Oryzias latipes: one gene and its partner. The protein of the gene in region 1 purifies or fractionates together with the protein of each later gene. This does not show direct contact. Links are inferred from orthologs where the notes say so. Each region holds a gene or a part of one and is shown in the gene's direction. Other genes may lie near its edges. The genes, in order: nphp1 and nphp4.

Region 1 (4,334 bases):
TTAAATAAATACAGTGATTAACTAAAGTCAAGTAGAGCTTGATTTATTGCCTGAAAAGGAGTGGAAAGAAGCCAAAAACCCCTATTGAGTTAATTCATTTTATAGTTTTATAGTTTTTGTAATCAAGTTCTGATCCGATAGATTCTTTTCAAGGAACAATATCCAGTGTCTAGTAATGATTGAATATCTTCAGAAAACATTCATTCTTGATTTCAGTAAACAGTAACGGTAACCATTATGTAATAACAATTGATTATTATTAGAACACATTATCACATTAAACCAGTAATTATTGCTGCACATTGCATATCAAGTAAGGAAAATCAATAGCTTATTGATTGTAATTCAAACATTTTAGTAATCATTTTTGCACATTAATACTCATTGGTTGTAATGATTATTTCACCACAGTCAAGTTCACACATATATTTGGAATTATTCACACACGTGTTGATCCTTAACTCCTCTTATCTTCATATTGTGAATTCAAAGTTTCTTTATACCTATTCTTCAATAGTTGGATATTTGAAGATTAAGTTCATTACTTAACCCGTTCCAAAGTTTAGTTCCACACACCGACACATAGAAACTTTTCTTTGTTTTTCTTATCCATTTGATCCTAAAGTTCCTAAATCTTCTCAGTTTGTAGCTTCCTAAGAACTGTTTTTGGATATTGAATGGTAATGATTCCCGACTAGCTCTGTAGAGAAGTTGTGCAGTGTAAAAATCCACAAGGTCATACAGTTTTAAAAGTCCAGATCGATGAAATAAATTAAATAAATCAAGATATCCGGCTTTATGTACATTTCTGATGGCTCGTTATTTAAGTAAAAAAGAGGATGTAGTGAGGTATTACAATTATTCCCCCAAATTTCTATACAGTAGGTGAAATATGGTACTATTAAGGTGCAGTACAATAAATATATACTGTCGTATTCTAATATATATTTAGATTTATCTATCATTGAAATACTTTTTGAGACTTTAGTTTGTATGTGTCTGATGTGTTGCTTCCAATTCAATTTGTCGTCGATAACAACCCCTAAAAATTGGATTTCTGTAACACTTTCAATAAGGACATTATTTATTTCAATTGAAAGCTCAGTAATGGCGTTGTAGTTACCAAAAACATCACTGTGGTTTTTTTGTTTAAAAAATGCTATATGAAATTATTTTTTTTCCAGTAAAGAAAACTTTTAGAAAGGTTCATTTTAAATTCGTGTAACGTCAGCTTTTCTTACAGCTGCTTACATTTTTTGGCCATGTTTCACGCCAGGCCACTGGGGGGCGGTAACTGCGCATTATTTACTTGTTACTGAAGCAGGGATAGTCGCGTTTCAGATATTTTTGCATTTGTTTCTAGTTTTACAAAGCTTATCTTTAGTATTCAAACAATGCGTAATACATAAAAATATACTTTTAATACATAAAATATTAATACGTAACATTTTTTAACGATTTACACAAAAGTATGTTGCCTAGCAACTAGTGATTCTGGCGTCATATTAGCAAGCTAGGCGTTTGGCTAACAAATGAGACTTTCTTCAGACCCAAAATAGAGCCTAGATGCCGCTTAAAAGAAGAGGACCGTTACAACTTGTCCAGAGAGAAGTGGATGAACTAAAAAAGCAGGTGTGTTTTATAATAGCACCCTCTCGTGTACAATAAACTAACCGTAAAAAGCAGTGTTGGGCAGGGTAAGAAGAAATAAATCTTGATTTGAAGCCTAGATGTTGCATTTTTAGGTAGGCAAATGTAAAGTAAACCCCTGTAAACTTGTGCTTTTGAACAAGTCCGATTTAAGCAACGGAGATGCAGGCAGATGTGAATAATAGCACAAAGAAATATTTTATCATTGAAAAGCTAGAAGGCATCCACTGATCAGATCATTGAATTAAGCAACCGAGATATTATTATTCAAAAATCATATACCATACAATTAAACATACTCACAATTTCTGTAATTTTTTTTCCTAAAACAGGTCGATAATTTGGTAAAGGATGTGCAAAGTAAGGTTGGATCTAATGAAGAGGCTTTTCGAAGGTATGAATCGTTTCTATACTAGTTTCATTGCTTCCAAAAAGCAGTGTCTGTTCATTAGCCAAACAAGAGCAAATAGCTATAAAACTAAAAACTGTAATTCCAACTATAAATGTTAACTTTTTTTGTCACTGTTATCTTAAGTACACAACAGAGTCCACACCCATTATACATGTAAAAATGTAAACATTATGCTTTCAAGAAACACGTCTGTGAAAGCTTTCACAATAAATAGCAAATTAACTAGGAGCTTCTCAAAATATCATTGGATCACATCGTTTCTGCTCTTCTTAAGGCTGGAAGTCTGTCCAGATTTTCTCTATACATATTTTTACCTTCAGTGGTGATCTTTATAGTTGGATGGATATTGATGTTGCTTTAAATACAATTTTATTGTTGGATTTTACAGTTCTTTGTCTCTTTTTATTAGAGTAAATTAATACTTAAAGAAACTCTCAGTTTAAATGTACTATCGCAAACAAGAAGTGTTAAATTAAACTTGTGTTGCATTTATATTTCCCAACAGATGTCAAGATCTGCAGATGTCAGCAGAGAAGACACTAAAGACTTTGCAAAAGCTCACAAAGGTTCATATGCCTCCAACTGTCATTTGTAACCCTTGTGCTATCCTAGGCACTTTAACATTGGGAGTTGGGTCATCTAGACCCACTAGACAGTGCTCTGAACCTTTTTTCTTCAATGATTTGTGATCTTCACTGGTGTCCATGGATTACATGAAATCTTTCCACCTTTATCCACCTTTGTCATGGTAGGGAGAACACGTCAATGTAAGGGTGGGGTCATCTAAGATAGCACAAGGGATAATAGGTGCAGCAAAGTAAGACAACAGTCTAAGTAGTCAGTGATGTCACTTTATAATGTGATGTACTGTTTTGCAGGCCGAGGAGCCAGCTCCTGTGGGTAACTATGATCAGAGGAAACAGGAAGAAGAGCGACGGCTGCAGAAAATCGTGGAGCGTCTGAATGATCTTTCTCTGGATCTTTCACCACCTGGACCCAGTCGTGACACCGGGTCAGCTCCAGCAGAATATAGAGAAACAAATTCCAGACTCATCATTTTTTACAAGAAGTTCCATTTGCAATTATCCCTGCTGCTGTTGAGACTTCAAGAGTCTCCCAGAACCAGAGATATTTGTGTGTGTGTGATGGAAAACTTAAACTTCCTATCTTGTCTTATTCTACAGTGACGTTTCAAAGGATGAGAGTCAAAGGGAGGCTAATGAAGATGAGGAAAGCAGTAGTGATGATGACAGTGATGAAGACTCAGATGATAAAAAGGCTGTAAAGCCACCATTACAATCAGACCTCTGGATCTACACTGTCCTGAGTGATTTCAAAGGAGAAGAGGAAGGAGATCTGTCAGTTCAGGTAAATCCCCCCTTTTCAGAAAGACTGAAGCTAATTTTATGAATTTGTTTTTTTCTTTCTTTGCATTTTTAAAAGTAATGTAGCAAAAGAACATCAGCTTAAATTGTGTGTCAATGTATGCATGCAATATAAAAACTTATTTCACTTTCCAGGCACCTTTTAAATGAACTGCTTATGTGTTGATTCTTGGCAAAATTGGAGCATTAGTGTTATTTGAATGTTGAATGTTATTTGAATGCAGTACTTGATAAAATCAGAAGATGGAGCCATAGCCACTTCATGGCAAATAGTTGTACTTTGTTTAACCTTTGTGCTATCCTATGGGGTCAAGCTTACCATTGACATGTCCTCCCTACCATGACAAAGGTGGATAAAGGTGGAAAGATTTCATGTAATCCATGGACACCAGTGAAGATGACAAATCAATGAAGAAAAAAGGTTCAGAGCACAGTCTAGTGGGTCTAGATGATCCAACTCCCAATGTTAAAGTGTCTAGGATAGCACAAGAGATGAAAGACGATCCATCTTAATAGGTTTTCCATCAACATGCTTTTAGATTTATAGCCTTTTTAATGTTGTAAAATCATATTCTCCTCATTTAATTCAGTGTTTAAAAATGTGCTTCTGTGAAAATGTGTTTTGTACGTAGCTCCTGGCCAACAAAAACCTTAAGTCTTATTGCTGTCTCTTTTTCAGAGAGGAGAGGTGTTGAGGATCATCCGAAAGACGGTGGATGGTTGGTGGCTCGCTCAGGACTCGAAAGGCAACAGAGGAGTGGTTCCAAAGACATTTCTGAAGGTACATGGTCCATTTCAGACACCTTCACTCAGATTTATACAGTTTTAGATATTTAAATAAATATTTGCTCTTCACCGAGAAGAAGAATAAACTGAAATGCAAACAA
Region 2 (4,352 bases), on another chromosome or scaffold:
TAATTATTTTAATGTTTTTTAATGTATGTAGACTTTTTTTAATCAATTGGTATTTTAAATTATTTTAATTGATCAGTGAACTACAAAAACCCATCAGGACACATGTCCCACAATGCATTGTTTTGTAGTCATGCGGGCAGCTTACAGTCAGTGCAGTACTAAATTTCCAGCGTGATCTCAAACACGCTTATTGTGCATCTTGGCTGCACATATTTGGTGTCACCAACATGAATTTCCATCCGTTTTGGAGCCGTTCTTTGATCTCAGGTAACCATTGTTCTGATCTCCAGTGAACAGTACCCGTTCTTTTAGGAACCACAGTTTGAATTCAACTATGAAAATATAAGAGTGGCTGACCGGCTGCTCTACAACATCTTGTGACCGGGGTTTAAATGTGCAAAAAGTCATCAGGAAGAAAATCCAAAAACGATTTCTGAATTTTGTTTTTCCTTTACTGATTTGTGGTTTAAAGAGTAAACTTAAAAAAAAACTTTCAACACAGACTCAAAATAGGGAGCACATCCTCTCTGACTAAATTTCAATAATCATCTTCATCCACACTGAGGGTCTCAGCTGTTTGGGAGGAAGTGCTGCCAAGTATCCATCAGTGAGAAGAAGACAAGAGAATCCGTGTTCAGAAGAATCATTGATGGATTTACAGAACTGTAGAATTTAAGTCTTCTTTTGTGTTTAATAGTTATAATTTAACAGTGTTAACTGAACTGTGTTAATAAAGATGTTTAAATCAGAAAACAGTAGATATAGAAGACTAAATAAACAGAAATGTATGACTGATTTATTTACTTATTGATTGATTTTTTTGTTTACATATTTTATTTGAATGAGAGTTTTATAAGTACATTTTGCACAGCAATCAGTTAGTAATAGAGTATAGTTACTAGTATAGTATATGTTCCATACAAATCTATTGGCTCTCAGACACTCACTAGTTGCGTGTGTGTGCGTTAAAGTTGCGGCCCTCCCTCAGCTAGAGGCCTTCTGTGGCCCCCAGGTAGATTGAGTTTCAGACCCCTGATTTACATGTTGGCTAATATTTAGCGAGTTAAACATTTAGCTCCAAACGAAATATTTTTACTAAAAAGCTAAATATTTAAATTGAACTTAAATAAAAATCTTAAATGCTTAACTTGGAAAATAAATATTCAGGTTAGATCTAAATGTTTATTTTGTAAACTTAATATTTAATTTTAGAAATTAAAAATTCAGATTACAAAAGAAACATTTAGTTTTATAATCTAAATATGTAATTATAAAAAATATTTAACTTTAAATTAAATAACTAGCTTGCTCTGCCACAGACTGGCGACCTGACTGACCCCCCCCCCCCCCCCCTCGGTCTTCGCCCACAAGTGGCCGGGAAAGCGGGAAAGGCTCCAGCAGCCACGTGACCCCGGTTTAGATGATTAATGAATGAATTAGCTTAGTTAGTAAATGTAACAAATATATTAATTAAAAGGCGAAAATATGCATTTAAAAATGAAACTTGTCATTTCACCTTAAAACAGGCTAAATAACCGAAAATATTACTGTTATTCTTTGACTGTTCAGCTTTACAAACGGCATCCCATGCGTTACCATGGAGACGGAAAGTGAGTTGGGAAATTCTAAATTCGGGGTTTTATTTATGACAACAACTCATTTTTACCAACTCTAAAAATAATATTTATAGCTGTTTTAAATTAAATTACTTCCAGCCATTTCTACTTCAATGATTCTATTCGTACATGAAGTTTCGTGAACTTTTCTGTGATTGTGTCGGAAAGCATTTGGCCGGCCACCCCTCTGAGCTAAATGGTACGGTCCCATTTCAAAATGGCGACGGCGTCTTCCAAAAGATTGTCCAGTTTTGAACTTTTTTCCCTCTTTTTCCCGCTCCTTCAGCTCTGGTGATGAAGACTTCGGACGCTGTGTGTGTCGTGGCGCCGAGCCGGGAGGGGGGGTTCCGGTTCCACCGGTTCGTGCCCCCCTCCGGGCAGACCGCCCGCGCGGCGGCGGACAGCTTCAGCCAAAGCCGCGGCTTCCAGCTCGGTCCGATGCGGATCAGTGCGCCGCACCTCCCGCAGGTGAGCGCGGGTCCCGGTCTGAACCCGGTTCACATCTGTAAAAACGTAACCGGTTGGATGACACGTGATCGAGGATCTCTGAGGTAAAGTCCGAGGCTGTGGTTTCGCGTGAAGTTCATGGAAACGTTCCTCATCTCCAGGAGATGTTTGCCGGAGAACCGGACGCCAGTTTCCAGCTGAGAGCGACGCTGTTCGACCGGAACCAGCTGCTCTTTTTTGGGAGGACGTGGAAGAGTTCCGCCCAGAAGATGAAAAACCAGAAGATCTCCTTCAATCAGGTACACGAGGGTTTCTCCTCGACACGTGAAGTTTTCTGTAGTTCTCCTGAGGTCCAGACTGTAAAGTTGGGTTTATGCAGCCCCATCATTTCTATTTATACCAGCAGCGTTTAAACCCCCCCCAACCGTCCAGCAGACCGCTGTTGACCAATCAAGGATTTGAACCCTCCCCTCCCAGTTTCTGGGTGGACACTGTCGTACTAGGCCATGCAGCCGGTTTCAGATGCTTTAGCAATAACTGAACAGTGATGGATCTGCTGGTTCTGGGAAACGTCCCGTTATTGTTCCAGTCTGTTTGTGTTCGAGCTGTTGAGTTCAGGTCCGTTAAGGTTAAAGGTGTCAGTCAGGACTGCAGGACAGACTGAAGGAGCCTGGAATGTTCTGGGGGCCCGTCCACCGTGAACCCCGCCTTCCCCCAACAGTAGCTGGGCAGCGTTAGAAAGAAGGGGAAAAAAGTGGCAAATGTTATTTGGTTGTTCTTGGATACCAATATTCAACAGCAACCAAACCGACTCAGATGTCAGAACTTACATCTTTATTTCTTCTATACATCTAATATCAACTGCCTCTTATGATGGACATTTAAAAAACTCTTTAAATATTAAAAACAAACATTTTACTAAATATTGAAGCATCTGGTTACACAAAGTATTGCCAACTAATATCTTTATAACTAGTATCTTTACACAGATTTACATACATTGGTTCTTTTTTTTGGTTTTGATAATTGTTGCTTAAAGAATATAAAATACAAAGACTGTTGTAAAAATTTAAAATATCATATCATCCCATGAAAAAGGTTTTTTTCAGCTCATGTCAGTCTGTTCTGTTCTGAGTGAAAGTTAAAGTGTTTTATGAATGTGTTTGAAATCTACTGTTAATGGGCTGATTATTTTGAACGTGTTTTTGGAGACCTCTAGCGGTCGCGCCAGGTACTGTTGTTCAACACATTTATTTGAATAATCTTTATTGAAAAGTCCACATGTAGAAACAGAAAGGATTCGCTAGCATGCCCGCACTTCGTTTGTCGGTGGAAAGAATTTGCTACATACGTCCCAATTCACAGGTTGCCAAAAACTAACCCTTGAAACTTGAAAAATAGTCGAAAAACACCAAAATGTTGAATAAAAGACCAGGTTGTCACACGGTCAACCATCAGGTTCATTTTTGGTTGTCCTACGTGAAATCTGGTTGTCTCGGTTAACAGGATAACCGCTTATTTGGAATACTGCTGGGATAGGCTCCAGCAACCCAGTGACCCAAAAGGGCGGCTGCGGCTCCTGCTGCTCCTGCTGCTCCTGCAGCTCCTGCAGCTCCTGCAGCTCCTGCTGCTTCTGCTGCTTCTGCTGCTCCTGCTGCTCCTGCTGCTCCTGCTGCTTCTGCTGCTCCTGCTGCTCCTGCAGCTCCTGCTGCTTCTGCTGCTCCTGCTGCTCCTGCAGCTCCTGCTGCTCCTGCTGCTCCTGCAGCTCCTGCAGCTCCTGCTGCTTCTGCTGCTCCTGCTGCTCTTGCAGCTCCTGCTGCTCCTGCTGCTCCTGCAGCTCCTGCAGCTCCTGCTGCTTCTGCTGCTCCTGCAGCTCCTGCAGCTCCTGCTGCTTCTGCTGCTCCTGCTGCTCCTGCTGCTCCTGCTGCTCCTGCAGCTCCTGCTGCTCCTGCAGCTCCTGCAGCTCCTGCTGCTTCTGCTGCTCCTGCAGCTCCTGCTGCTCCTGCTGCTCCTGCTGCTCCTGCAGCTCCTGCAGCTCCTGCAGCTCCTGCTGCTCCTGCAGCTCCTGCTGCTCCTGCTGCTCCTGCTGCTCCTGCAGCTCCTGCTGCTCCTGCTGCTCCTGCAGCTCCTGCAGCTCCTGCTGCTCCTGCAGCTCCTGCTGCTTCTGCTGCTCCTGCTGCTCCTGCTGCTCCTGCTGCTCCCGCAGCTCCTGCAGCTCCTGCAGCTCCTGCTGCTCCTGCAGCTCCTGCTGCTCCTGCTGCTCCTGCAGCTCCTGCGGCTCCTGCTGCT

The links.
Region 2: the proteins of nphp1 (region 1) and nphp4 purify together in Homo sapiens (co-immunoprecipitation; 6 studies listed by BioGRID and IntAct, with this or other methods). This does not show direct contact. The link is inferred for Oryzias latipes from reciprocal best matches to the Homo sapiens genes NPHP1 and NPHP4.

Annotation. Positions count from the first base shown.
Region 1 is NC_019873.2:15,307,511-15,311,844, reverse strand, and holds the start of nphp1 (nephrocystin-1), read left to right. Parts: upstream 1-1,275; 5' UTR 1,276-1,566; coding exon 1,567-1,632; intron 1,633-1,982; coding exon 1,983-2,044; intron 2,045-2,567; coding exon 2,568-2,628; intron 2,629-2,940; coding exon 2,941-3,074; intron 3,075-3,246; coding exon 3,247-3,430; intron 3,431-4,126; coding exon 4,127-4,228; intron 4,229-4,334. UniProt on the Homo sapiens protein: Together with BCAR1 it may play a role in the control of epithelial cell polarity. Involved in the organization of apical junctions in kidney cells together with NPHP4 and RPGRIP1L/NPHP8. Does not seem to be strictly required for ciliogenesis.
Region 2 is NC_019865.2:668,508-672,859, reverse strand, and holds the start of nphp4 (nephrocystin-4), read left to right. Parts: upstream 1-1,397; 5' UTR 1,398-1,910; coding exon 1,911-2,084; intron 2,085-2,224; coding exon 2,225-2,362; intron 2,363-4,352. UniProt on the Homo sapiens protein: Involved in the organization of apical junctions; the function is proposed to implicate a NPHP1-4-8 module. Does not seem to be strictly required for ciliogenesis. Required for building functional cilia.